Linked DNA regions of Callithrix jacchus. The protein of the gene in region 2 interacts with the protein of the main gene of each other region in a pairwise test. Links are inferred from orthologs where the notes say so. Each region holds a gene or a part of one and is shown on either strand. Other genes may lie near its edges.

Region 1 (4,051 bases), on a different chromosome or scaffold from region 2:
GAGGGAGACTCCATATCAAAAAGAAAAAGGAGGTCGGGTGAGGTGGCTCACACCTGTAATCCCAGCACTTTGGGAGGCCGAGGAGGGTGGATCACAAGGCCAGGAGTTCAAGACCGCCCTGGCCAACATGGTGAAACCCCATCTCTACTAAAAGTACAAAAATTAGCTGGGCGTGGTGACACACGCCTGTCGTCCCAGCTACTAGGGAGGCTAAGGCAGAAGAATCGCTTGAACCTGGGAGACAGAGGTTGAAATGGCCTGAGATTGTGACACTGCACTCCAGCCTGGTGACAGAGCGAGACTCTGTCTCAAAAAATAGAAAACAGATAAAAAATTAGCTGGCATGGTGGCATGCACCTATAATCCCAGTTACTGGGGAGGCCGAGGCAGGAGAATCATTTGAACCCAGGAGACAGAGGTTACAGTGAGCGGAGATCGCGCACTACACTCCAGTCCGGGCAACAGAATGAGCCTCAATCTCAAACAAACAAAAAGTCAGAAAGCACATGGTTAGCAAAGCCTAAGATGTTTACTACCTAGCCCTTGACAGAAGAAGCTGGCCAACCCCTGATCTAACACATTTATTTGGTGCTACCAGCTTCATCATCACCCCCACCTTCATCAGCTGCTCCTTCTGTCTGGAAAGTTCTTCCACCAGATCTTAGGATAGCGTGTTCCTTCTTGGGACTTAGATAACATCTGAAGTGTGACCTCCTCAGAGTTCTTCTGTGGTTACCTTGTTATTCTCTTACCTCATTGCCCTGTTTTAATTCTTGACACGTCACTTACTGTTTGTTTACCTGCTGCATCCTCAGAACCTGACTCACAGGAAGCACTCACACTCAGTAACTGCAATGGGCTGAACAGGTGAACAGCTGCTGAGCCTGTGGTCCAGGGGTCCCAGCACCAGATGTGACATGGGAGGCTCTGAGCTCATAGCTGAGCAAGTCTGATGAAAAGGCCTCACTTAGGTGTGCGTGCACCAGTGCCAGCAGAGCCTCGGCATGAGAGAGAGAAGAACCTGGAACTGCCACCCAGTTTTCATTTTTGCGAACGAATAGATGTGGCACAGTGCTAGGGCAGGACACACTGGGGGCAGAACAAGGGTGGAGCTGGGGGTCTGGTGTAATCTGTGGGATCAGCTGAGACTGAGGTTCCTAAGCTACAGGCAGTGGAGAGTTGTATCAATTGGCTGCTTATTTAGACCAGAGGTTCAAGAACCCCCAGGACATAGACCCCCAAAGTGAAGACATACAGGAGGAGCCCCCTTGCTAGGTACTTGCTAACCCAGGCAACCCTCGGGGCAAAATGGAGTGCAGATACATCCCAAGCAGGTGAGGGATAAGGCCAGGACAGGGCAATCAAGAGACAGGAGGGATGGTCCCAACCAACAGGGAGGAAATCCAGCTCAAACACCAGGAGGGGAAAGGACCCCTAAGGCCTCCACCATCCCATCTCAAGGCTGGGAGACTTGGGGCAGGGGCAGGCAGCTAGCCCTGCAGAGCTCTGAAGGTCCACCACAGGGACACGCATGGAGTCAGCCGGTGTGCAGGTCTACTAGGCAGCCCCCAGCTCCTCAGGCAACCCAGCCCCACGCCGCCTGAGCTCCTCTGGGACAGTCGTGGCTCTGGATCCCCGAGGTGAATCAGGCAGCGCTGCCAAAGGCCTCTTCAGGAGGCCCAGGGTACTGCAGGCAAGACCCTTTTCCCAGGGAAAGCCCAATATGACCAGGAAGCAACTGGGGCACCAAGACGCCCAGGAGGGCTCACTGCTGAGCTAGACACGCTTTGAAAAAGGCAGCGGTACCCCCGCCTCCACTTCCACCCCCAAGTAGGGATACAGGATGAAAAGGAAGGCACAGAGCTTTGGGGAGGGCCAGCTTTGCTCTGGCTCCCCTAAGCCTAGAGTGACTCTGTACACACCCGTCTCTGCACCCATGGAAATTAATCCCGTCGTGCCCGGGGCCTCCGCTCTGATACAGACAGGGGCCCACACCAGTCCTGGACACTCCTTCCCAGGCGGGGTGCTTGCTTAGTTAATTCTTGCCCTGATCCCATTTCCTGAGGGGTGGCCCGGGTGCCCAGCACTGCAAGTGAGGTCACTTTAATCCCCGAAAGCTGAAGGAACTTCCTTCAGAGAGACTCCACTTTCTCCTTCAGCCTAGCTCCAAAGCCCCCACAAAGCTTGGGTAAGTCCCTTCTCTGTGGCCTTGATTTCCTGATCTGAAAATGTAGATAATTCCGGAGTTGTCTACTTGACCGGCAGGCTGCGGAGAATCCACACACCTTTACCTTGGAACAAAATGCGAAGCAGCCTCCAGCTCCCAGCCTTTCCTGTCCCTTGGCACCTGCTGCCGTGGGACTCAGCCAGCAACGCCCAAGGCGGCCAGGTGGGACCTGTGCCCTGGGCGCCCGCGTGACGGCAGCCGCGTCTCCCGAGGGCCCCTCCCTGGCCTCCTCCCTCCGCAGCCTCCTCTCTCCCCTGGGCTTCCTCCTCCCTCCCTCCCCTGAGCCTCATCCTTCCCCGGCCCGGCCCCCTCTCTCGATGTCGACCCAGTGCCCATTCTTCCGCTGTGCCCAGCCGGGGACCCTCTCCCTCGCTCCGCTCTCGTCACAGGACCCGGGACTCCGCGCCTCACCTCGCGCCCCGCACCGGCCGCCGCGCAAGTGGGTCCGCTGGCTTCCGCGGGTCAGTGGGCCCCGCGCTCCCAAAGGTGCTGCGGGGGCGGGCCCCGCGCCCGGCCCTCGCCATGGCAACGCTACACTTCCGGCCCGCATTACCTGTAGCCGGAAGCCGCAGTGCCCCGTGGGAGCCGGGGGCGGGGACTGGGGGGGAGGGACATCGGGGGCGGGGTCTGGGGAGGGACATCAGGGGCGGTGCCTGAGGAGGGACGATCAGGGGATGCGGCTGCCGGGGTCCGCTGCGGGCGGCCAGGCGATCCTTCTGCGGCTGCGACCTCCTCGGGCCTTGGGTGAGACGGCGAGCGCTCAAAGGCTCCTGGGACTGTGGTGGAAAAAAAACGAGTCATCGTTGGCAACCGGATGGACGCCGGCGGAATGAGTGGCAGTTTTGGGGGTGTTTCAGCCCGGGACACTGAGGTCGGAGAGGAGCGGTCGGAACTTGGGGAGCCTCCAGCGCCCCACCAAGGAGGCGCCAGTGGAGAGGGGTTCCTTAAGACTTAAGGGAAAGGCCCAGCGAGGTGGCTCACGTCTGTGATCCCAGCACTTTGGGAGGAGGCTGAGGCCGGTGGGTCGCTTGAGCCCAGGAGACCAACCTGGGCAACACAGGGAGGCCTTGTCCCTACCAAAAAGTGAGAAATTAGCCGGGCGCTATGGCGCACACCTGTAGTCCCGGGAGGCTTAGGCGGGAGGATCGCTTGAGCCCAGGAGGTGGAGGCTGCACTGAGCCCAGATGACACTACTGCACTCCAGCCTGGGCAATGGAGCGAGACCTTGTCTCAAAACAACAACAAAGACTTGTGGGAAAGAACGACGCCTTGCTGACCGAATGGGGTAAGAGGCCACGAGTATTTCGCCTCCCGAGATTCAGGACTTTGCAACCTTAGCCTAGGGAACACACCAGAGAAGGCCTCAGCGTCGAGGTGATAACCGGAGTCCTGAGGGAAACAACAAGAGGTCCGAGGGGTGTGGCGGAGATAGAGGGAAAAGGGTGGCACCCCACAGAAAAGGCTCGGTCCAGCCCAGGCTCCTCCTCCAGGACACCCGCTGCCAGTCCCTCCCCTCCACACCTTGGGATGGGCTGGGCTCCACCATATACTTCAGATTTTCAGCCTTTTGAGGTGATCATGGTGAGGGCTGAACAAGAAAAGCTGAATTCTCAGAGAGAGCAAAAGCGTATTCCTGGGCCCCCATGTGTCCAGGGGCCCTTAGCTCTGCTGCCAGCACCAACCCCTGCTGCTAGTGCCCAGAGCTACTGTCCTCTTGGGCAAACTTGCCCCTTGTGAGGGAAGAGAACCTGGGATTTGGGGCAGAGTACCTAACACCAGCCTTGCTCGGACGGAGGGGCAGAGACGCTGATCAGATGGCTAGGG
Region 2 (3,500 bases):
ATATACTTAATTAAATATGCTTTTCTAAGTAATTCAACATTATGTGTGCATGATACAATATGCTACAATGTGAGCCACTGTACAAAGCAATCGAAATTCAAAAACAAGTCATAATCCCTTCCTTAGACAGTATGCTATCTAGTAGTGGAGGACATAAAAGACAACCAAAAACCCTACTGTATAAATGCTTTTATAATGAAAAATTTAAACATACACAAAAGTAGATCAAGATTTCAATTAACTCCCATTAACTGATCACCCTGATTCAATACTTACCAGGATTTTGCTACACTTGTTTCATTTATCTTCCCCCTCCCCTTTTCTTTCTGCTGATATGATTTTAAAGCAAATCCCAGGCATGTTATTTTACCTCTACACACTTGAGTATGCATTCCTGGAAAAATACAGACATTCTTCTTAAATAACAATAACGTTTATGACACAGCTAAAATAACTGATACCAGCTGGGCACAGTGGCTCATGCTGGAAATCTCAGCTACTTGGGAGGCAGAGACTGTAGTGAGCCGAGATTGTGCCACTGCACTCCAGCCTGGGTGACAAAGTGAGACTCCATCTCAAAAAAAAAAAAATCCAAATAATGTCTACAAAGCTTCTAAGAAGCACTGCAATTTTTGTTAGGGTTGCTGTATACTAGAAAAATACATTCTTTTTTTTTTTTTTTTTGAGACTGAGTCTTGCTCTTTTACCCAGGCTGGAGTGCAGTGGCATAAATATGGCTCACTGCAGTCTTCACCTCCTAGGCTCAAGCAATCCTCCTACCTCAGCCCCTCATGTAGCTGGGACCACAGGTATGCACCACCACACCCAGCTAAATTTTTGACTTTTTGTAGAGATGGGATCTCATTTTGTTGCCCAGGCTGTCTCAAATTCCTGTGCTTAAGTAATCCGCCCACCTCAGCCTGCTGAAGTGCTGGGATTATAGATGTGAGCCACCATGCCCAGCCCCAAATGTTTTGAAATGTTTCCTCTTTTAGGGTGATAAAAGGTTAACAAATCATTAGATTGTTAAGTGTGAGATCCAGGAAGTGGCTCTGCTGCCTCTCCTACTGCTTTCCTTGTACAAGTCACTTAGCTTTCTTGGATACATTTCCTCAAAAAACAAAATAAGAGGGCTTATGTGAAGTTAACAAATAATAAGTGTTTAAGAGTACAGGTATGGTGGCACAAGCCTATGCTCCCAGCTACTTGGGAGGCCGAGGCACGAGAATTGCTTGAATCTGGGAGGTAGAGGTTGCAGTGAGCAGAGATCACGCCACTGTATTCCAGCCTGGGCAACAGAACGAGACTCTGTCTCTAAAAAAAAGAAAAAAGAAATTGAGAGCATCATATTTCATACCTGATGAGCTCGACAAATCAAATCTAAATCATGACGATTCAGAAATTTACTGACTACATCAGCTCCAAAAGTAAAGGAAACACCACGATCATTTTCTCCCCAGCCTTGCACATCCTTATCTGGATCAGACCACAGCAAATCACAGAGCAAACCTTTAAAGGACAGAAATACAGCAATTAAGAAAAAAATTTATAGATTCATAGAACATAGCAAATCTACATCACATTTCAGTTCCTCTCCTGCCCTCTTACCTTTTACTAAACAATGACAATCACTTGCCCAAATATTCCAGCCTATGTAACTTAACACTTTTGGGAAAGCAACCATACAGATATAATCTTCCATGGCCTCTTAAGGTAGAACTTTCCAACCCTTTCCACGTATAGGAAATATGTGTATGGCACACTTACAACAACAATATATGGAAAAGGCTGTTCATCTTTTGTGTACAGTTTCTCCATATGAATAACGAATGAACCCAGCGGTTATTTCCTCAATAGTTCATCCTTTCTTTATAGTTCCACTGTTTCTGAGCACCACAGTCTATTCCGTTAGTCTATTTTATTTATCCCTGAGCCAATAACAGACTAGAGCTTTTAACAAGTCTTTATATTTGGTAGGGGTAGTATCCTTTTTTTTTTTTTTTTTTTAAATTCAGGATTGTCTTGATTACTTTTTGATCCTTTATTCTTCCATATAAACGCTAAAAACGATTTGCTTAATTCCATAAAAAATTCAATTGTGATTTCAATGGAATTGTATTCGACATATAGATCACTTGAGGAAAAAAAAACATTTTCTACTAAGGCCCTGAGGATTTTTTTTTTTTTTTTAGTGTGGAGGAATAAAATCCGATCAGATCCTTGACTTTAGTAATGTTTGCGGCCCTGAAAAAGAGGTCAGAGTTAAAAATATTTATCTGGGTATTGTCATCATATTAATGGTAGCAGGTATCTTAAGAAGGGACCCAGACCACCTTGGGAATACAAAGTGAGAATACCAGTAAATTAATTTTGAGGAATTCAAACATTTAATAGGCAGGCAGATGAGGGAGAATGAGCATAAATATTAGGGAGAATGAGCATAAATATTGGGAAGGAATGATCCAGACAAAGAGATGAGTACAGTAAAGGTTATCCTTAAAGGGGACAGAACCGCCTAAAAGCAGGAAATGTGCCATGAACAAGTAGACAGGACAAAGACCAAAAATGTGCCACTTACAATTATATCATCAGACTTTAATGAAAGCAGTTTCTTGGTAATTGAGTGTAAGAGAGTAGGTAAAAGTCCAATTGCAGTGATATTAAAAGTAGGGTGAATGTTGAGATGGTGATAGTAAGTGATTTTCTAAAAATTACAGTGGCTAAGAAAAGATATTTTTTAAAGAGTAAGTCAGTTTTAAGAATTTTAAAGAATCCATAAAAATCATAGTATGGTTTAGGAGGAAAGGGCATCTTCATTTTCAGTTACATCATATCCTGATAGAGGAATTATAAAACCATTTGCAGAATTAGTGGCAATGTACTCTTAATTTCTATTGCTGATATGTCCCAAGCTCCCCCTACGATGTTCTAAGAAATTCACTAGCACACAAAATCCACTGGAATCAGTCAATCGCAATTTGTATGCCCCTTCTGATTGATGCTGACTCTTCAAAAATACACACCCACCCAGTGCTTAATAATGCTCTCACACTTTCCAGCCTGTTTCCAGAGATGAACCACTGAGTAGAAAGCTAAGGTATTAAGAATCTATAATTGGCCAGGGGCAGTGGCTCATGCCTGTAATCCCAGTACTTCGGGAGGCTGATGTGGGCAGATCACGAGGTCAGGAGTTCGAGACCAGCCTGGCTAATATAGTGAAACCCCATCTCTACTAAAAATACAAAAAAAAACTAGCCAGGCATGGTGGCATGTGCCTGTAGGCCCAGCTACTCAGGAGGCTGAGGCATGAAAATCGCTTGAACCCAGGAGGCGGAGGTTGCAGTGAGCCGAGATTGTGCCACTGCACTCCAGCCTGGGCAACAGAGGGAGGCTCCATCTCAAAAACAATAACAACAAAAAAAAACCAAAAACAACGACAAAAAACCCCCATAATTTCAGTGACAATAAAACTGTATAAAATTAGGTTTAGGAAACAGAAT
Region 3 (3,500 bases), on a different chromosome or scaffold from region 2:
AGGACTGTCACAAGGGAACTGTGACACTCAGGAACTGTCACAAGGGAACTGTGACACTCAGGACTGTCACCAGGGAACTGTGACACTCAGGACTGTCACAAGGGAACTGTGATACTCGGGAACTGTCACCAGGGAACTGTGACACTCAGGAACTGTCACCAGGGAACTGTGACACTCAGGACTGTCACCAGGGAACTGTGACACGGGAGCTGTCACAAGGGAACTGTGACACTCGGGAGCTGTCACAAGGGAACTGTGACACTCGGGAGCTGTCACAAGGGAACTGTGACACTCGGGAGCTGTCACAAGGGAACTGTGACACTCGGGAGCTGTCACAAGGGAACTGTGACACTCACCTATGGGATGTGGATGAGTCCCGAACTGAGCAATTAGTCCTAAGTTGTGGTCCTTGTCCCAGCCTGTGGGAGGTGGGGCTGGCTCCACCTTGTGGAAGTCTTTCTCTACTGGAAGCATAGTGGGTGTGAGACAGCAGTCAAGGGACTTGAGGCCTGGCCCTGGGGTAATCACTGCTGAGCTCTGGCGGCCAGGGAATCCTGACTCTGGCCTGCCTCATTTCTGCGCCTGTGTTCAGTTAAGCCCTCACCGAATCTTACGGCCCTCAGTGCATCTCATTTGAATTTGTTTCTCAAAATCAAGCCCACTAAGGACTTTAAGGCTCTGCCAAGAGTGGTACATATCCACGCCCCAGGCCAATGCCTCCCTCCCTAACTAGGCCTCTTGGTGTGGGGCCTGCCTCTGCCTCCTGCCTCCCTTTGGGTTCCTGCTCATCCTTAGGGTGTGTGGAGGAATTCTAGCCTAGTGCCCTTGCCCACCTGCCTCCCAAAGGTCAGCGCCTTTCTCGGAAACAGCAGAAGAATAAAGACACATCCTTCCACCAGAAAGGCCTGTCCTGTGTCCTCCAGCACCAGCTGAGGCCTTCTCATGGCCTCCCCCTTGCCTGTGTCAATTGTCCTTTTCCCATCCCCCAGACTCTCTGCCTCCGCCAAAATTTAATTAAATGCATTGAGAATCTGGAGGAGCTACAGAGTCTTCGAGAGCTGGATCTTTACGACAACCAGATCAAGAAGATTGAGAATCTGGAGGCGCTAACAGAGCTGGAGTGAGTCATGAGACCCATAGGAGAAGGTGGTGGGGAGGCCACTGGATGGGGGGTGTCCAGTCTCTCCAGAGCCAACCCCCTGCTGGCTCTTGGCCCTTGAGAGGCTGCCTCTGCCACAGGGTCCTGCCCTGCATGCGAATCCCAGGCCTTTGCCTGCCATATTCAGGGATCCAGGAGGCCGAGTCAGCTTCATGCATGTCTTCACCTTCTTGGACAATCCTGACTTGCAAAGTACATCTCCGGTGGGAAGGCTGCAGTGGGACTTCTGGAAAGCCTCCATTCAGGGATGATACTGAGATTGGTAGAGGAGAACGTTAATCCAAAATTTCCTGTTACCTTTTGAATTTTTTTTTTTAATTAAGAAAAGTGACATTTCTAATATAAGGAGTCAGGTCCTCAGCCAGGTGCAGTGGTGCACACCTGTAATTGCAGCACTTTGGGAGGCCACATTGGGAGGATCACTTGAACCCAGAAGTTTGACATAGCCTGGGCAACATAACAAGACCCCGTCTACAAAAATTAAAATTAAAAAAGGAGCCAGATCCTAGTTATAACTTTACCTGGATTTCTGCGCCTTTGTTGCTCATTATTTTTGTTTGTTTTGTTTCTAATTCAGTACATATCAGGTCCCTTGTGTGTGCAGAGCCTGGTGCTGGAGGTCTCGTCACGGGCACAAATGTGAATGAAACACAGTTTCTGCTTCAGATACCATGCTGGGAGCCAGGGCATCAGGAGCCTGTAGGCTGCCACTGGCTTGCTCTGGGCTCCTGGGCAGCCTCCAAATCTCTCATGATAGCATCAGTGTGGGCCAGACACTAGCAGGGGCACAGTCAGACCCCCACCCCCGCAGTGACTGCAGTCACCTGATGGGGATGCCACTTCTAAGGTGGTGTGAGTTCTATGCAACCTATGCTCTTGTAATTTTTTTTTTTTTTTTTTTGAGACAAGGTTTTGCTCTTGTTGCCCAGGCTGGAGTATAATGGCACAATCTCGGCTCACCACAACCTCTGCCTACCTGGTTCAAGCAGTTCTCCTGCCTCAGCCTCCCAGGTAGCTTGGATTACAGGAATGTGCCACCACTCCTAGCTAATTTTGTATTTTTAGTAGAGATGGGGTTTCTCTGTGTTGGCCAGGCTGGTCTTGAACTCCAGACCTCAGGTAATCCACCTGCCTCAGCATCCCAAAGTGCTGCGATTACAGGTGTGAGCCACTGTGCCTGGCCACTTATGTAAATTTTTTTTAACTGTTTTGCTTGTTCTCAGGATTCTAGATATTTCTTTTAATCTGCTGAGAAACATCGAAGGGGTTGACAAGTTAACACAACTGAAAAAACTCTTCTTGGTCAACAATAAAATCAGCAAAATTGAGAACTTAAGCAACTTACATCAACTACAGATGCTAGAGCTGGGATCTAACCGCATCCGGGTAGGTGTGGGAGAGGCAGCTAACGGGCTATGTAGGGGCTCAGTGGGTGTATGTAGAGTGCATGCTGAGCTTCATTTGTCTTCCGCTGTGATTTTTTCATGAACAGGGAAATTATCATTTTTAAAGAAATGCTAACTGGAAGTCAGTATTAGTAAGCCCTAACTGAGTGGTCTAGCCTTTCTTCTGCACATAGATTTCAGTTGCTCTTCATCCAAATCATGATCCTAAATCACACCATTCCCAGTTACATTCTGCCGGCGATGAACCAACCTACTGAACGCCTTGCTCTTGACCCCACTCATGGTGACCTCTGCAGTGCTTCTTTGGGATGAAAGCTTCCCAAGCCCAGCAGAGTGGTCACTTGAAGTGAACTGACATACACACCAGGGGCTTTAGAAAGTGTCTTGATGGTGACACACTCCCGAAGGCAGTGCTGAAGTGGGCCTTTCTCCCTACGCAGCTTCATACTCCTGGGACACAGTCCCCAACAGGGTTAGGTCTGTTCTCCAGGATCCATTTGACCTTGAAAACCTGGGACACAATGGAAATAAGAGACTTTTGAAAGGTGATCTGCTGTTCCACAGAAGCAGGAGTGAGCCTTCATCAGCTGACTCATCGCCACCGTCATGTGCTGGAGGGGAACCTGGGAGGGTGTCCCAGAAGGACTGCCACTGGGGATGGATCTGCCAGGCAGAGAGGAGGGAGGGTTCCCATGGGCAGGGAGGAGGACTTCTGTCAGCTAGAAGAGCATTGGAGCCCCATGCCCAGCTCCTAATAGGGGTCATGGCACAGAGCCTGTGCTTCCCTTGGCCTTGCTTAGTGGCTCCGGCAGGTGTTTCTGAGCACGTCTGCCCCTGCCCCATGTTCCCAGATGCCCCTCTGTTTGGCTTCGGGAAGTATTACAGCATGCTATGTCTGTCCTGGGCCCTTGAGAGCTTGGACAGGATACAAACCA
Region 4 (3,983 bases), on a different chromosome or scaffold from region 2:
CTCTGATGTGAACTTGACTTTTAGATAAAAGATGTTCACTGGGCACCAAGAACAAACCTCCTGTTCACTTCCATAGTGCCCCGAAGAAATCCTTCTTTGGGAGGCTGAGGCAGGAAGATTGCTTGTGTCCAGAACTGCAAAACCAACTTGGCCAACATAGAGAGACCCTGTCTCTGTATTTTAAAGAAATTGGCCAAGTGCAGTGGGCCACATGCCTGCAGGCCCAGCACTTTGGGAGGCCAAGGTGGGCAGATCACTTGAGGCCAGGAGTTCAAGACCAATCTGGCCAACATGGCAAACCCCACCCCCTGCCTACTAAAAATACAAAAATTAGCTGGGCATGGTGGTGTGTGCCTGTCATCCCAGCTACTCCGTAGGCTAAGGTGGGGGGATTGCTTGAACCCAGGAGGCAGAGGTTGCAGTGAGCTGAGATCGAGCCACTCTACTCCAGCCTAGGTGACAGAGCCAGACCCTGTCTCAAAAATAACAAATAACGATAATTTTAAATAAATCTTTTTAAAAAGAAATCTTTCTTTGCAACAGTAACAATTAAAATAGTTTCCATACTTTCCAATTCATCAAATCAATCTTTCAAACTACAACTAGAAATCAGTCATTCCTACCTCTCTAACCTATTCATTGGTAGAGGATCAATATCTGTGTTTAAGAGAGAAACTTCTAAGTTTTATAGCCTGGGAATGCAGGTGAAAACTGACTGTTAACTGTCAAAATGACCAACTCAACAAATGCTTTTGGAGAAAACAACGCAACCCTCTATAAAAGCTTTTAAATCCCAGTGAAATTAAAGGTCAGCTGACACTTTCTGGCTACATGTCTTGTGGTCTTTTTTCAAGGGTTTCTGGCTGAACATTTCCCAATGGTATATGAAATAGTTAAGATCCAGAGCACAGAAGACATTAGGTTAGCACCGTATACACAGGCTACCAGCATATGTGTATTTTACTACTAGATCTAATTTTTTTTCCGGCCTATAAGGACTCCTATAATCACCAAAACAAACAAAATTTTTTAAAACCTAGAATATGTGAGACCAGCAAGAGGGACTGGCCCAAGCAATATTTTCTAGAAAAATGTATTTGCAAAGTTTAGGTAATACAAGTTTCTTTCTTAAATTAGTCCAAAATAATAAGCTACATCTCACAAGGAGAAAGCCTCTCCACTCAACTGGAATCCAACCTTTTGCTTGCTAAAGGTCAAGAAACCAAAATCTCTTGGTTTTGGGTTTTTTTGTTTTTTTTTTTTATGATCAGGGCTGCCATCTGTAGCTGGGTTGGAGGAAGGAAGGGTTGCTGCTGTGTTATGATAAACCTGAATAATAATGACCTGCCCTGTTTCCCCTTTTACAAGATACTGTGGTTGATTCTCAAATACTATAAATTTGATGGACCCATGTCTTTGTGATCACCAGGATCATGAACTTAGAGAGCACTCAAATGAAAACCCTCCATTTAAGCTAGGTATTTAAAGAAAGCCGTGCACCCACCACCCCCACTCCCCATTCACTAACACAAGGTTAGGATTTGGCTTTCCATGCCTAAACTACCATCGTGTGGAAGACAGGAGATCTTTGTGGGAACTGGAACATGATGCTGCATTAACTCTCAAGGATATGCAGTCATTTATCACACCGGCACAACCAACATCCTGGCTTTGGAGATTTACAAAACAGCCAGGAAAGAAAAAATTGGAACTATGGATTTACCCTGAACTGAAAACTGCAGGACAAGGGGACAGTGTTGTCTTTTGGGGATAACTTCTAGCATTTCATATTGAAGAACAGTTCGTGTGTCACACTGCCACTCTCAACCCCTTTAAAAGGATGAATCAAGACCGCAGCACTAAAAGGGACGGGTGGCAGTTGGCTGCATGTTTGGGCCTATGAAAAAAGATCAAGCTAGCAACCAGGGGAAGCGATGCTTTCCTTTTCCTACACGACGCCAGAAATATGGGAAACATCAGGAACCGGAGAGAAGGGACATGTCAAGTCACCAGTTCCCTTTAATGAACACGCCTGCGGAACCCTTCAGCTCTCGGCCCACTTTCCTCTGATTCCCGCTAACCTTTCCGCTCATTCCAATCCTCTGCAGCCCCTACCCAGCCTTCCTCATCCCTTCCTGCCTGCTACTCACAAATTCCCAACCACTCCTCCCACATTTTCCTCTGTTCCCCCTCCCCTTCCTTCACTTTCCTCCATCCTACATCATTCTCCACTCCATTCCGAACTCAATCCTCATCCGCAATCCTGCAGGCTTCCAAGCCGCCCATCGGTCTCCCTCGAGCTGCCCCCGCAGTCCGGGCCCGCGTCCTGGGTGCCCCTCGCTCCCACGCCTCTTCCCGACGCCGTTCCTTCCCAACGGCACCCGACCTCCCTGCCCCCCGACCGCTCCCGTCCGAGCCTCTCATTTCTGACCCCTCCATCCGCACGGCTCTGGGCTTGACCACTCCTCCACGGCCGCCCGAGGGCCGATCCCGAGAAAGGACGAGGCGGCACCCTCCGCCCCGCACCCCTAGGCCCATTACCGGCCCCGCCGCAGCTGCCTCCTCCGGTGATGGTCTCTGCCGCCCCCGCTGCCGCCGCCGCCCTACCCCGGGTGGGAAGAAGGGAGGAGCGAGCGAGTCCCGGGCCCCGCGGCGACGGCCCGGGATCTCCCTGGGCGGCAGGGCGCAGAGGGAAGGCGGTGGGCAGCCCGGCCGGCAGGCAGAGAGGGCCGGGCGGCTCCGGCAACTCTGGCGCCCCCAGCAGCAGACGCCCAGAACCGCCCGGGCTCCGGCTAACAATAGGCTCCGGCCGCAGCGCTCTGTCTCTTATAGGCGCCGGCACGTCCTGCCCTAGCCCCGGGGCGGGCTGGGAAATGGAGTCTACGTGCCGGCCCCACGCCCAGCGGCATGTCGGGAGTTGTAGGCGGTGACTGCTGCAAAGCCTAAGCCGGCGGGCAAACCTGCTCCGGAGGCGGTGGCCCTGCTGCAACCTTTTAATGGGGGAAGAGAGGAGCTTCTCAACTACACATCTTAGATAACTAAACGAATTCTTCTCCAAAGCTCCTCCAATTTTCCTTTCGCCGGACCATATACTCCTTGCTCATGGGGTCTTAGTCTTCAGCAATATGACTTATTGCAGCCTACCCAAGTTATAAAGAACACAAGCAATATCTTGAGTTATATACTTGTATGAGGGACTGCTTTGAGTGTTTTCTTTAAAAAATTTTTTTGCCATGATCTTCTCAACTTTGCAAACTATTCTATTTATTTATTTAAATAGAAAAGGGGTTTTCACCAGGTTGCCCAGGCTGATCTTGCACTTCTGGGCTCAAGCTAGCCGCCTGCCTGGGCCTCCCAAAGTGCTAGGATTATACACATGACTCCCCGCGCCCATCCGCAACCCGAGACGGAGTCTCGCTCTTACGCCCAGGCTGTAGTGCAGTGGGGCGATCTTGGCTCACTGCAACCTCCGCCTCCCAGGTTCAAGCAATTCTGCCTCAGCCTCCCGAATAGCTGGGATTACTGGAGCCTGCCACCACGCCTGGCTAATTTTTGTATTTTTAGTAGAGACAGGGTTTCACACTGTTGGTCAGGCTGGTCTCGAACTCCTGACCTCATGACCCACTCGCCTCGGCCTCCCAATGTGCTGGGATTACAGGCGTGAACCACTACGCCCGGCCAGAATCCATTTTTAAGAAAGATCACTTCAATGATCTCCTGATCCAGGGCTGAGACCTCAGGAACTTACTTGTCTCTCTTTTCTCTCTCCTGCAGCTTGATGGAGATACCTCTCACTGGGCCTCTTTGAATCCGATTCATCAGATGTGTGACATAGGCTGCTCTCTTGTTGCGGAGCTTCTTGCTAGAGATAATGGCGACCTCGCACACGCGCTTGTTCGTGTGGAAGCCGTTGCCCATGCGCGTGTAGTACTTTTCTATGATGACCCGGGCCGTCTTCTTCAAGGTTTTGGTGCAAATGCGGC
Region 5 (4,291 bases), on a different chromosome or scaffold from region 2:
TGGCATAACACATAGGGTTGTGAGAACTGAATCGATAGCACACAGTGTTTAACACAGAGTAAAGGCTCAACAAGCAGCAGCTATTTTCAATATTTTAGCTCAGGCACCAGGTGTCTTGAGGTGATAGAGTAAAACCTCTATCTGAGAGATCAAGTAGAAACTTGGGAGCTAGCCAGGGTTGAACACAAGAGCTGGGTATTATGCTGAGTCTGTTCATTGGCACCACATGAAGAAATTGAGGTTAGAACTTGCCTACATTTATGTAGCTAGTGTCAATCCAAAGACCTTCCAGCTAGTTTTGGTTGAGCTAAGGGGGCTTGAAGACCTGCCATGAGTTAGACATTTCACAAATAAAACCCAGGCATGAAGTGCCTTTCCCAATGATATTCAGTGTGATCTTTTTTTTCTTCACTCTAATAACTCCACTTTAACAATTCCACTGTTTGACAGTTGTTTAAAAGACATAGGAATTTTTGTATATTTTAATTGACTAATGGATATCTCAGTAAAGCAGAACTAGGACATGGGAATAATTTAGACTTGACTTAGATAGACATTTAATTTTACGGTTGTAGATGATGATCTAAAAAAAATCCCCAAACTGAGCAAAATAATGAAACCTTAGCGAAAGTGACTGACTCAGAGGACTCATGAAACATACAGCGTGCTTTTTAAAATTGTATTTTAACATTTTGATTTCCATGCCACTCCCAGAGGACCTCAGAATTGAGTGAGGGGTTTGGGTTGACTGCTGCCTCTGACAGGCTCTATGGGTGAAAAGGGTCATTTCACTTTCGGCTTTAGTGTCCCTCTCAGGGGAGAAAATAGAATAGACAGAAATACAAAGTGTCTTTTAATTAATTCCACCTCTGTGTTTTCTGGGGCTCGTATGCTTTCCTAACGACATTTGTTAGATAAGTTGGTAATTCTTGGCAGCTGTCTACTGTGGGGTGCATCTGTGAACTCATCCTAACCAAAAGCATGCAACCAGTTTGGGGTCGCTCAGGCTAAGGTGAGGGAGAAACGCGGATACAGCGGGCAATGAACAACATAAACATTTCAAATGCGATACATACACATTCGGACTGAGCCACATCTTCTGTGTGTAGATTCAACTGCACTGACCTACAAAGCCATTCGCGAGTAACAGCCGCCCCAAGCCTGAGGCACTGGCGCCCCTCCTGGGCGAGCTGGCTGCGCTCTCTCCTGGCCCGCGCCCGCTGCATGCGGTACGTGCCTGTCCGGCCCCTGGCCCAGGGTTCCCGTTCCGCGGTTGGGTCCAGCTGGCCCGGGAGTCCCCGAACCTTCCCGGGACGCCCAGCTCGCGCTCTGCACGTCCGGCCCGGGGGCGATCACGTTCCCGGGCCGAGGGCCCGTGCCCTAGCTGGGCGCTGGTTGGTCGCGCCACGGGGTCCGAGGCCCGGCGATTGGTCCCAGGGATCGGGTCACGTGCTTCGGAGCGGATAAGTGCCGTCTCAGCGCCCGGCCTTCATTCCGTCCCAGCGATCGCCGCGGGGCAAGGCAGGTAGCTGGGGTTGAAATTTGTGCAGGCAGTGGGTGCTGGCTTTCACGGTCCGCTGCGCCTCTCTGCCTAATGAGCTGCACCAGGTAGGTTCGCTGCAACTCTGCGCGCCGGGAACACAAGGGGACGCGCAGTTGTGGGGAAGTTGAAGGGCGTTTCAGTTCTGTCATCTCTGGAAAGGGACACCCCAGGGGAGGACAAGTGGGCTGACTGCTTAGTTGAATCTGGCAACAGAGAGGCCTTGGAGGTATAGAAACTTGGCTCTATTTCTTAAGAAGAGCCTATTTTAGAAATAAGCAAATTAAAGCAGAAATGACCTTAACGTGAATCAGCTTGGGTTCGGATTTTCTCAGGGATGCGGCTGTTCTTTTGGTCCTGCACAAATGTGCCAAAGACTCGGGCAGCTAAAGTGGCGAGAACAGCACTCTGACATTGCTGGTTAGGTGGTTTAGCTTGGAGGAAAAAATTTACAGGACGATGTTTGTAGTCATTCATCCTTCTTATCACAGTTTGCCATAGCAAAATCTCAAGAGTTTGAGCAATTATTTTTAACTCTTGTCCAGGACTTAAAGTTCCAGGGAAATCACCCAATACTAAAACTGTCCTTCTATAAATGCAAAAAGTCAAAGAGAAAAAAAAACCTCCCATAAAATACTTTAAATAGCTTCTCCAGACATAGCTTAGCAGAAGACTTCTCTAAAAATCCTGCCTATTAACTATTATTAGACCCACAAATATAGCTTTAGCTTTCATTTGTTTGTTCTAAGTTTGCAAGTCTCCCAAAAAAACCCCAGAGCTAATACAGTAAATTCTGTGAGTGTTCTTTATTACTCATTTTTGTGATAATGACCACTTGCATACATGTTTAGAGCTGCTGTGAGGAGAGTTACTAAAGCCAGATTGAGAAATGTCATGTACAGTATACACACACCTCTTACGTGTAAGGCTAAGATGGGGGGAAAATCCTAATGCCATAAGCTTGGAAATATCTAATGAGGACTAAAGGCCAGAAAAAAAGTCTTCTTTATGAATGCTTCTTGGTTTAATATTGTTGAGCATGTTCATCTTTAAAAGTTTAAATAGCTTTATTGTCTTTCTACTTATAAATGCCTATTAGAAAATACCAAAAAAGAACAAAAATGAAAATAGATCATCTATAATCCTATCACCCAGAGATAATAATTATTATATTATTAGGAAAGACATATTTCCTATAGAGTTTTTCAATATTTACAAGTTCATATATATATATTGTATATCTTAAAACACTCCAACTTTCAGGTAATCAGTTTTTCCACTTAAATGTGGAATTGTCATGGGCATCTCTTTAGGTGAACTATCAATTACACACAGTTTTTAAGTGCATGAATTGTTGACTTGTATTTCAGTGGTTATTTGTGAAAAATGAGGAAGAGCATGATAAAATGCAAAGAGAATTCTTCGGCTTCTCTAGCCTTCTCACTGTCAAAACTGTTGCATGTTAATTTTATTTTTTTCAAGTGAATTACCAGAGAAGTGTCAATCAATTTAGCAGCAAAATAAACCAAAGCATCCAGAGGGAGCAGAGGGTCTGGAACTGTGGCTCCTGAACTTGTCTGGTTATTAGAATCACCTGGGAAGCTTTAAGAACATGTGCATCCCTTGGCCCTAGCCCCAGAAGTTCTGCTTCAGTGGTTCTAAGTCCCAGGATAAGGATAGAAAGAAGGAAGGAAAGGAAGGAATTCCCTAGGCATGAAGTCCCAGGAAAAGGAAGGAGGGAGGGAAGGAAGGGAGGAAGGGATTCCCTGAGGCATGAAGTCCCAGGAAAAGGAAGGAAGGAAGGAGGGAAGGAGGGAAAGAGGGAGGGAGGGAGGGAGGGAGGGAAGGAGGAGGGAACTTCCCTAGGCATGGTGACCAGACAGGTTTGAGGACCACACAATCATGTGCTCCAGAACAGAGCACATGATTCTTAAGACTGCCTTGGAGATCATCAAATAGAACACTTTTATTTCTCAGATGGGGAAACTGAGACCCCATTCCCCTCTAAGTGTTTTAAGCAATTAACACTTAGTCAGCCTTTAGCCAGCCAAAGGTAAAGGTAACCATAGAAAGAAGATCTGATCACTTAATACTGTTCTCTTTTACTACATATGACAGCACCTGCCTGATACTAGTGCACTGGCTGTCATTCAGCACAAAAATAGTACATATGCATTTGGCACTGGGGAAGAGCACTTCCGATCCAGGTGATAATCCCCCTTCCCTTTGCATTCCAGAATGATCCAGGTTTTAGATCCACGTCCTTTGACAAGTTCAGTCATGCCAGTGGATGTGGCTATGAGGCTTTGCTTGGCTCATTCACCGCCCGTGAAGAGTTTCCTGGGCCCTTACAATGACTTTCAACAAAGACATTTTGTGAATAAATTAAAGCCTCTGAAACCATGTCTCAACATAAAACAGGAAGCCAAATCACAGAACGACTGGAAGTGCTCGCACAACCAAGCCAAGAAGCGCGTTGTGTTTGCTGACTCCAAGGGCCTCTCTCTCACCGCGATCCATGTCTTCTCTGACATCCCAGAAGAACCAGCATGGGATCTCCAGTTTGATCTCTTGGACCTTAATGATATCTCCTCTGGCTTAAAACTCCATGAGGAGAAAAACTTGATTTTAGATTTCCCTCAGCCTTCAACTGATTACCTAAGTTTCCGGAACCACTTTCAGAAGAACTTTGTCTGTCTGGAGAACTGCTCTTTGCAAGAGCGAACAGTGACAGGGACTGTAAAAGTCAAA
Region 6 (4,139 bases), on a different chromosome or scaffold from region 2:
ATTTAACCCTCTTAACAATGTAAGGAGGCAGGCACTCTTTATCCAGAGGAGGAAACTGAGGTACAGAGATTAATAGCACAGTGCCAGAGCTATTATAAGAAAGGACTGGTCAGGAGTTGAAGAGAGACTGGATGTGAGGAAGGTAACTGACCGTCACAGTGTCCTGTGGGATTTTTACTAAATGATAAACCACCCTGTATAGTTCTTCAACTGATCCAGCCATGCAGGGGTAGGATTCATTTGGATCTGGCCATAGCAGCTTTCCAGGGGCCAATCCCACTTCAGCCTAAAGCACCCCATAGGTTATCATTTAATCCGCAGCGGGACTAAGCCTTAGACCAGAAATTCCTCCCTAATGGGCTCCCTGGAATGGTTCCCACATAGCTGGGGGTCCTTTACTGACAATGCTGCCTGCCCTGATGCTTGATGTAACTCAGCCATATCTTCTGCAGTTGGGAGAGATGGGGAATGACATTTTGTGTTTGAACCCAGCAGGTCAGGCTCCTGAAGAGGTCAGGTAGGCTGTAGAGAGGACAACTGGTGATTACTGTTTATTACATGACACTAAGTCCCCAACACACGAAATCTGGGGTTCCCCAAAACAGACGGTGTTCTTCCACATGCTCCTCAAGGATGGAAAATGCCCTCCAGTGGAAATGCCTTTCCACTCTGCTTCTGCTGGATTTTCCTCCAAGATTTCCTCTAACTGTGGACTGCCAGCTCCTCCCTGATGTCTTCAGGCACCACCCAACCTCTGTTCTTGCTGCAATCCACAAGGCTCCTATCAACATCTTGACTTTCCCTCCAGTTTTCTTCCATTTTCTCCCCCTATGTTGACTGCGGTCTCCTTTCCCGCCTTTCTCCTTCATCTTGCCCTACAAAGCCGCACCTGAACCACAAGTGCCAGAGAGTTTGATCATTTACCTAATGTCAACAAAAGAAAAAAAAAGTAAGCTCTAGAGCCGGCTTGGCCTGAAGCACTCAAGCACAGTTAACAAGTGGGGCCAGGGCACCCTCCTACCCTCCACCTCGCAAGGAACTCAGAACTCTGAAACGGGGAAAGGGCCAGGCCTGCTGATTTAATCTATGTCCCGCAGTCTCCAAGAGGTCACAGACTGCAGATCCCAGTCTCCTGAAGTAAGAGAGGAGAGGACTACCGCAGTTGGAGGACAGCGCGAGGGCCAAGCGGCCCAAGATGCGCAGGCCACGCAGCCTCACGGACAAGTGGCCCTGGAGAGCCTCCAGGCACCCGGGTGGGGCCGCGATCGCGCTCTCAGTCACCCTAGCCTGTGGGCGCGGCAGGGCGGCGCGGGCGGGCCGGCTGCCGGAGCTGTTTGGCGTCTTGGCCTGAGTGTTTGCCCAGCCCGCCTGCGTCGCTCGGGGCGGCTCGGCCTTTCCCTCCCTCCCTTTGCCGACGGCTTCTGGCAATCAAGTGGATGTGGCGGGCGATCGGGCCACCTAGCCCAGGCGCGCCCAGCACTGGTAGGTGCTGGGGGTGGTGAGAGGCTTTGGGGAGAGAGTGCATGGGGTGGGAGTTGGGGGAAGGGAATTTCCTCCGGGCTTGCAGGGGTACCTGGGAGGTGCACGGCCCAGAGCGGGCGGGCGGAAGACTCACCCCGCCTCCACCCCTCCACGGCGCGCGGGGCGGGCTCAGGTGCGGGGCTGGGCGCCTAGCGCGGCCGCGGAGTGTCCGGTGTCCGGTGTCCGGTGTCTGGAGTCTGGAGCCGCTGGCTGGGTGAGTGGCGGTCCCCGGGGCCCGGGGACTTGCAGGGGATAGCGGGGTGAGTTCCGAGGGGGAGGGTCTAGCCCGGGCTCAGGAGACTTTTGGGGAAGTTCTGGGATCTGGCGAGGACTCGCGGCTCGTGCTTCCACCCGCGTGGAGTGCAGGCCGGGAGACGATCCGGGCTGGCCTGGAGTTTCTAGACTCCTAGCAGGAGCACAGCCCCGTCCTTCGCCCGGAGATCTTCCAAGAGGGAAGTCCTGGGAAGCGGTGGCAGCCGGCTCAGCACCCCTGCAGCGCGTTCCCTGCGTGCCGGCACCCAGGGGCGCCCCCACGTGGGGTCGGGGCGCGCGCGGAGGCACGTGCAGCGCAGCCTCCCTGGGCCTCAGACCTAGACATGGTGCCCAGTGGGCTCAACCAAGGGCGCCCCTGCCCACTGCTGGACTCGGGGGTCACGCGGGCCCCGGGAGGAGCCACAGTTTGTAGATTTTCTGAGTTGTCTCTCGCTTCCCTGGACGCTTAGAGAAGCAGCAAGCATGGAACCTCCCCTTTTCAGACAGGTGCTCCTCATTGCTGAAAGAGGCTTTTGTTTGATTGCTGTTTTAATAGAAACAACGACTTGGGTACCATTATTGTTAAATAGTGAATAAATAAGTGTAAAGTATACAGGGGCATAGATTTGGCATGAGTGGAATTTTCTAGGTATACTAAATCTGTGTGTACAGTAAACTCAAATTTCTGAAGAATAGTATATACTTGCAAAACTTGCCAAATTTCTGTCATCTCTAGTAATTTGTTTCATGGTCCAAAAACAGCCCTTGTGCTGGTAGATGCATAAGATAAAGTTTGAATAAGAAAGTAAAGTTGGACCACAGAGCTGGCTGTTTTAAAGGAATTAGAATTCAGACTGTGTTGTTAATGTATAGTTACACTGTCGGTACTACAATACTTTGTTATTTTTTATTTTATTAGGTCGGTGCAAAAGTGCGTTTTTTCATTATTGTTTTGTTTTTGTTTGTTCGTTTTTGAGACGGAGACTTGCGCTTTTTAGCTCAGTCTGGAATGCAATGGTGTGATCTTGACTCACTGCAGCCTCCGCGTCCCAGGTCCAGGTTCAAGCAATTCTCCTGCCTCAGCCTCCCAAGTAGCTGGGATTACAGGCACGTGCCACCATGCCTGGCTAATTTTTGTATTTTTAGTAGAGATGGGGCCAGCTGGTCTTGAATTCCAGACTTTGTGATCCGCCTGCCTCAGTCTCCCAAAGTGTTGGGATTACAGGCGTGAGCCACTGTGCCCGGCTGTAAATTGCAGTTTTTATGGCCAAGAAAAACAGTAACTTTTTTTTTTGCCATAAAAACTGCAATATTTTTGCACAGACCTAATATTTTTGAGACAGGGTCTCGTTCTGTCACCCAGGCTGCAGTGCAGTGTATGATCTCAGCTCACTGCAGCCTCAAACTCTGCAGCTCAAGCAATCCTCCCACTTCTGTCTCCCAAGTAGCTGGGACTATAGGTGCAGGCCACCACACCTGGCTAATTTTTATATTTTGTGTAGAGACAGGGTTTTGCCATGTTACCCAAGCTGGTCTCAAACTCCTGAGCTCAAGCAATCCACCCACCTCCACCTCCCGAAGTGTTGGGATTACAGGTGGAGCCACTGTGCCCGGCTTACTCTTTTTATGATTTAGGCTGTATCTTAGGCCTTTTAAAATTTTTATTTGTTTAGGCATCAGAGTTATCCAAAAGACAGTTGTATTAACACTGTGAAGGTGTGAGAATCAGGCCAAATCTATGGTAGCGTGGAAAACAGCTGATTCTCTCACCCTTTAGCAATTGGTGTTCAGAATAAATAGCAGGTGTGGGCTTGTTGCTTATCTTTCTCTTAAGAATGGTTTTGTGTTAGCTAGCTTTTCCTTTATTGGATCTTGAAAAACTGGAGGTTTGCTGCACTTGATATTTTATGGGAAAGTCCTTTGAATTTGAATCAGTATCAGCAATGATTATTTGTCCTTGTCAGAGAGTGAAAGTGGGAAAACCCGGTTAGTTAATTTCCTCATTTCTATTTCTTCTACCCTGGCTCTACCAGGCTCTTTCACTTCACAGTAGATTATGTCACATAAACCACATATTATGAGGAGTCACAGACTGAACTGGCCCTCATTTCACAGATGAGGAAACTGAGTCCCAAGAAGGTGAGGTGGCAGCCTAGAGTCACACTGCTCATTAGAGGCAGAGCTGGGAATTGAGGCTGAATTCCCTCTGGGTGTCTTGGATGCACTGTGCTGAGCTTGAGTTGGGGTCTGAGAAAGGCTTGGGGTGGGGGTTAGGGGATGGGAATTTAGGGGTGAGAGGGAGAGGTAATTTACACCAGCACCATTCAGCAGCTGCAGAATAACCACATCGTCAACAGCCTGACCAC

Evidence for each region.
Region 1: the proteins of PPP1CB (region 2) and PPP1R16A interact in binary tests that used the Homo sapiens proteins (3 or more experiments, as listed by UniProt). The two-hybrid records come from large-scale screens. The link is inferred for Callithrix jacchus from reciprocal best matches to the Homo sapiens genes PPP1CB and PPP1R16A.
Region 3: the proteins of PPP1CB (region 2) and PPP1R7 interact in binary tests that used the Homo sapiens proteins (3 or more experiments, as listed by UniProt). The link is inferred for Callithrix jacchus from reciprocal best matches to the Homo sapiens genes PPP1CB and PPP1R7.
Region 4: the proteins of PPP1CB (region 2) and CSRNP2 interact in binary tests that used the Homo sapiens proteins (3 or more experiments, as listed by UniProt). The two-hybrid records come from large-scale screens. The link is inferred for Callithrix jacchus from reciprocal best matches to the Homo sapiens genes PPP1CB and CSRNP2.
Region 5: the proteins of PPP1CB (region 2) and PPP1R3C interact in binary tests that used the Homo sapiens proteins (3 or more experiments, as listed by UniProt). The two-hybrid records come from large-scale screens. The link is inferred for Callithrix jacchus from reciprocal best matches to the Homo sapiens genes PPP1CB and PPP1R3C.
Region 6: the proteins of PPP1CB (region 2) and SH2D4A interact in binary tests that used the Homo sapiens proteins (3 or more experiments, as listed by UniProt). The two-hybrid records come from large-scale screens. The link is inferred for Callithrix jacchus from reciprocal best matches to the Homo sapiens genes PPP1CB and SH2D4A.

Annotation. Positions count from the first base shown.
Region 1 is NC_133517.1:53,155,588-53,159,638, forward strand, and holds the start of PPP1R16A (protein phosphatase 1 regulatory subunit 16A), read right to left. Parts: upstream 2,801-4,051; 5' UTR 2,639-2,800; intron 1-2,638. UniProt on the Homo sapiens protein: Inhibits protein phosphatase 1 activity toward phosphorylase, myosin light chain and myosin substrates.
Region 2 is NC_133515.1:86,258,310-86,261,809, forward strand, and holds part of PPP1CB (serine/threonine-protein phosphatase PP1-beta catalytic subunit), read right to left. Parts: intron 1,510-3,500; coding exon 1,358-1,509; intron 1-1,357. UniProt on the Homo sapiens protein: Protein phosphatase that associates with over 200 regulatory proteins to form highly specific holoenzymes which dephosphorylate hundreds of biological targets.
Region 3 is NC_133507.1:162,440,723-162,444,222, forward strand, and holds part of PPP1R7 (protein phosphatase 1 regulatory subunit 7), read left to right. Parts: intron 1-989; coding exon 990-1,120; intron 1,121-2,382; coding exon 2,383-2,545; intron 2,546-3,500. UniProt on the Homo sapiens protein: Regulatory subunit of protein phosphatase 1.
Region 4 is NC_133510.1:68,357,963-68,361,945, reverse strand, and holds the start of CSRNP2 (cysteine/serine-rich nuclear protein 2), read right to left. Parts: upstream 2,801-3,983; 5' UTR 2,432-2,800; intron 1-2,431. UniProt on the Homo sapiens protein: Binds to the consensus sequence 5'-AGAGTG-3' and has transcriptional activator activity. May play a role in apoptosis.
Region 5 is NC_133513.1:84,419,308-84,423,598, reverse strand, and holds the start of PPP1R3C (protein phosphatase 1 regulatory subunit 3C), read left to right. Parts: upstream 1-1,491; 5' UTR 1,492-1,594; coding exon 1,595-1,608; intron 1,609-3,777; coding exon 3,778-4,291. Other genes in the region: uncharacterized protein LOC144578709, read right to left, coding at 1,077-1,226.
Region 6 is NC_133514.1:22,193,852-22,197,990, reverse strand, and holds the start of SH2D4A (SH2 domain-containing protein 4A), read left to right. Parts: upstream 1-1,339; 5' UTR 1,340-1,482; intron 1,483-1,641; exon of another isoform or gene 1,642-1,735; intron 1,736-4,139. UniProt on the Homo sapiens protein: Inhibits estrogen-induced cell proliferation by competing with PLCG for binding to ESR1, blocking the effect of estrogen on PLCG and repressing estrogen-induced proliferation. May play a role in T-cell development and function.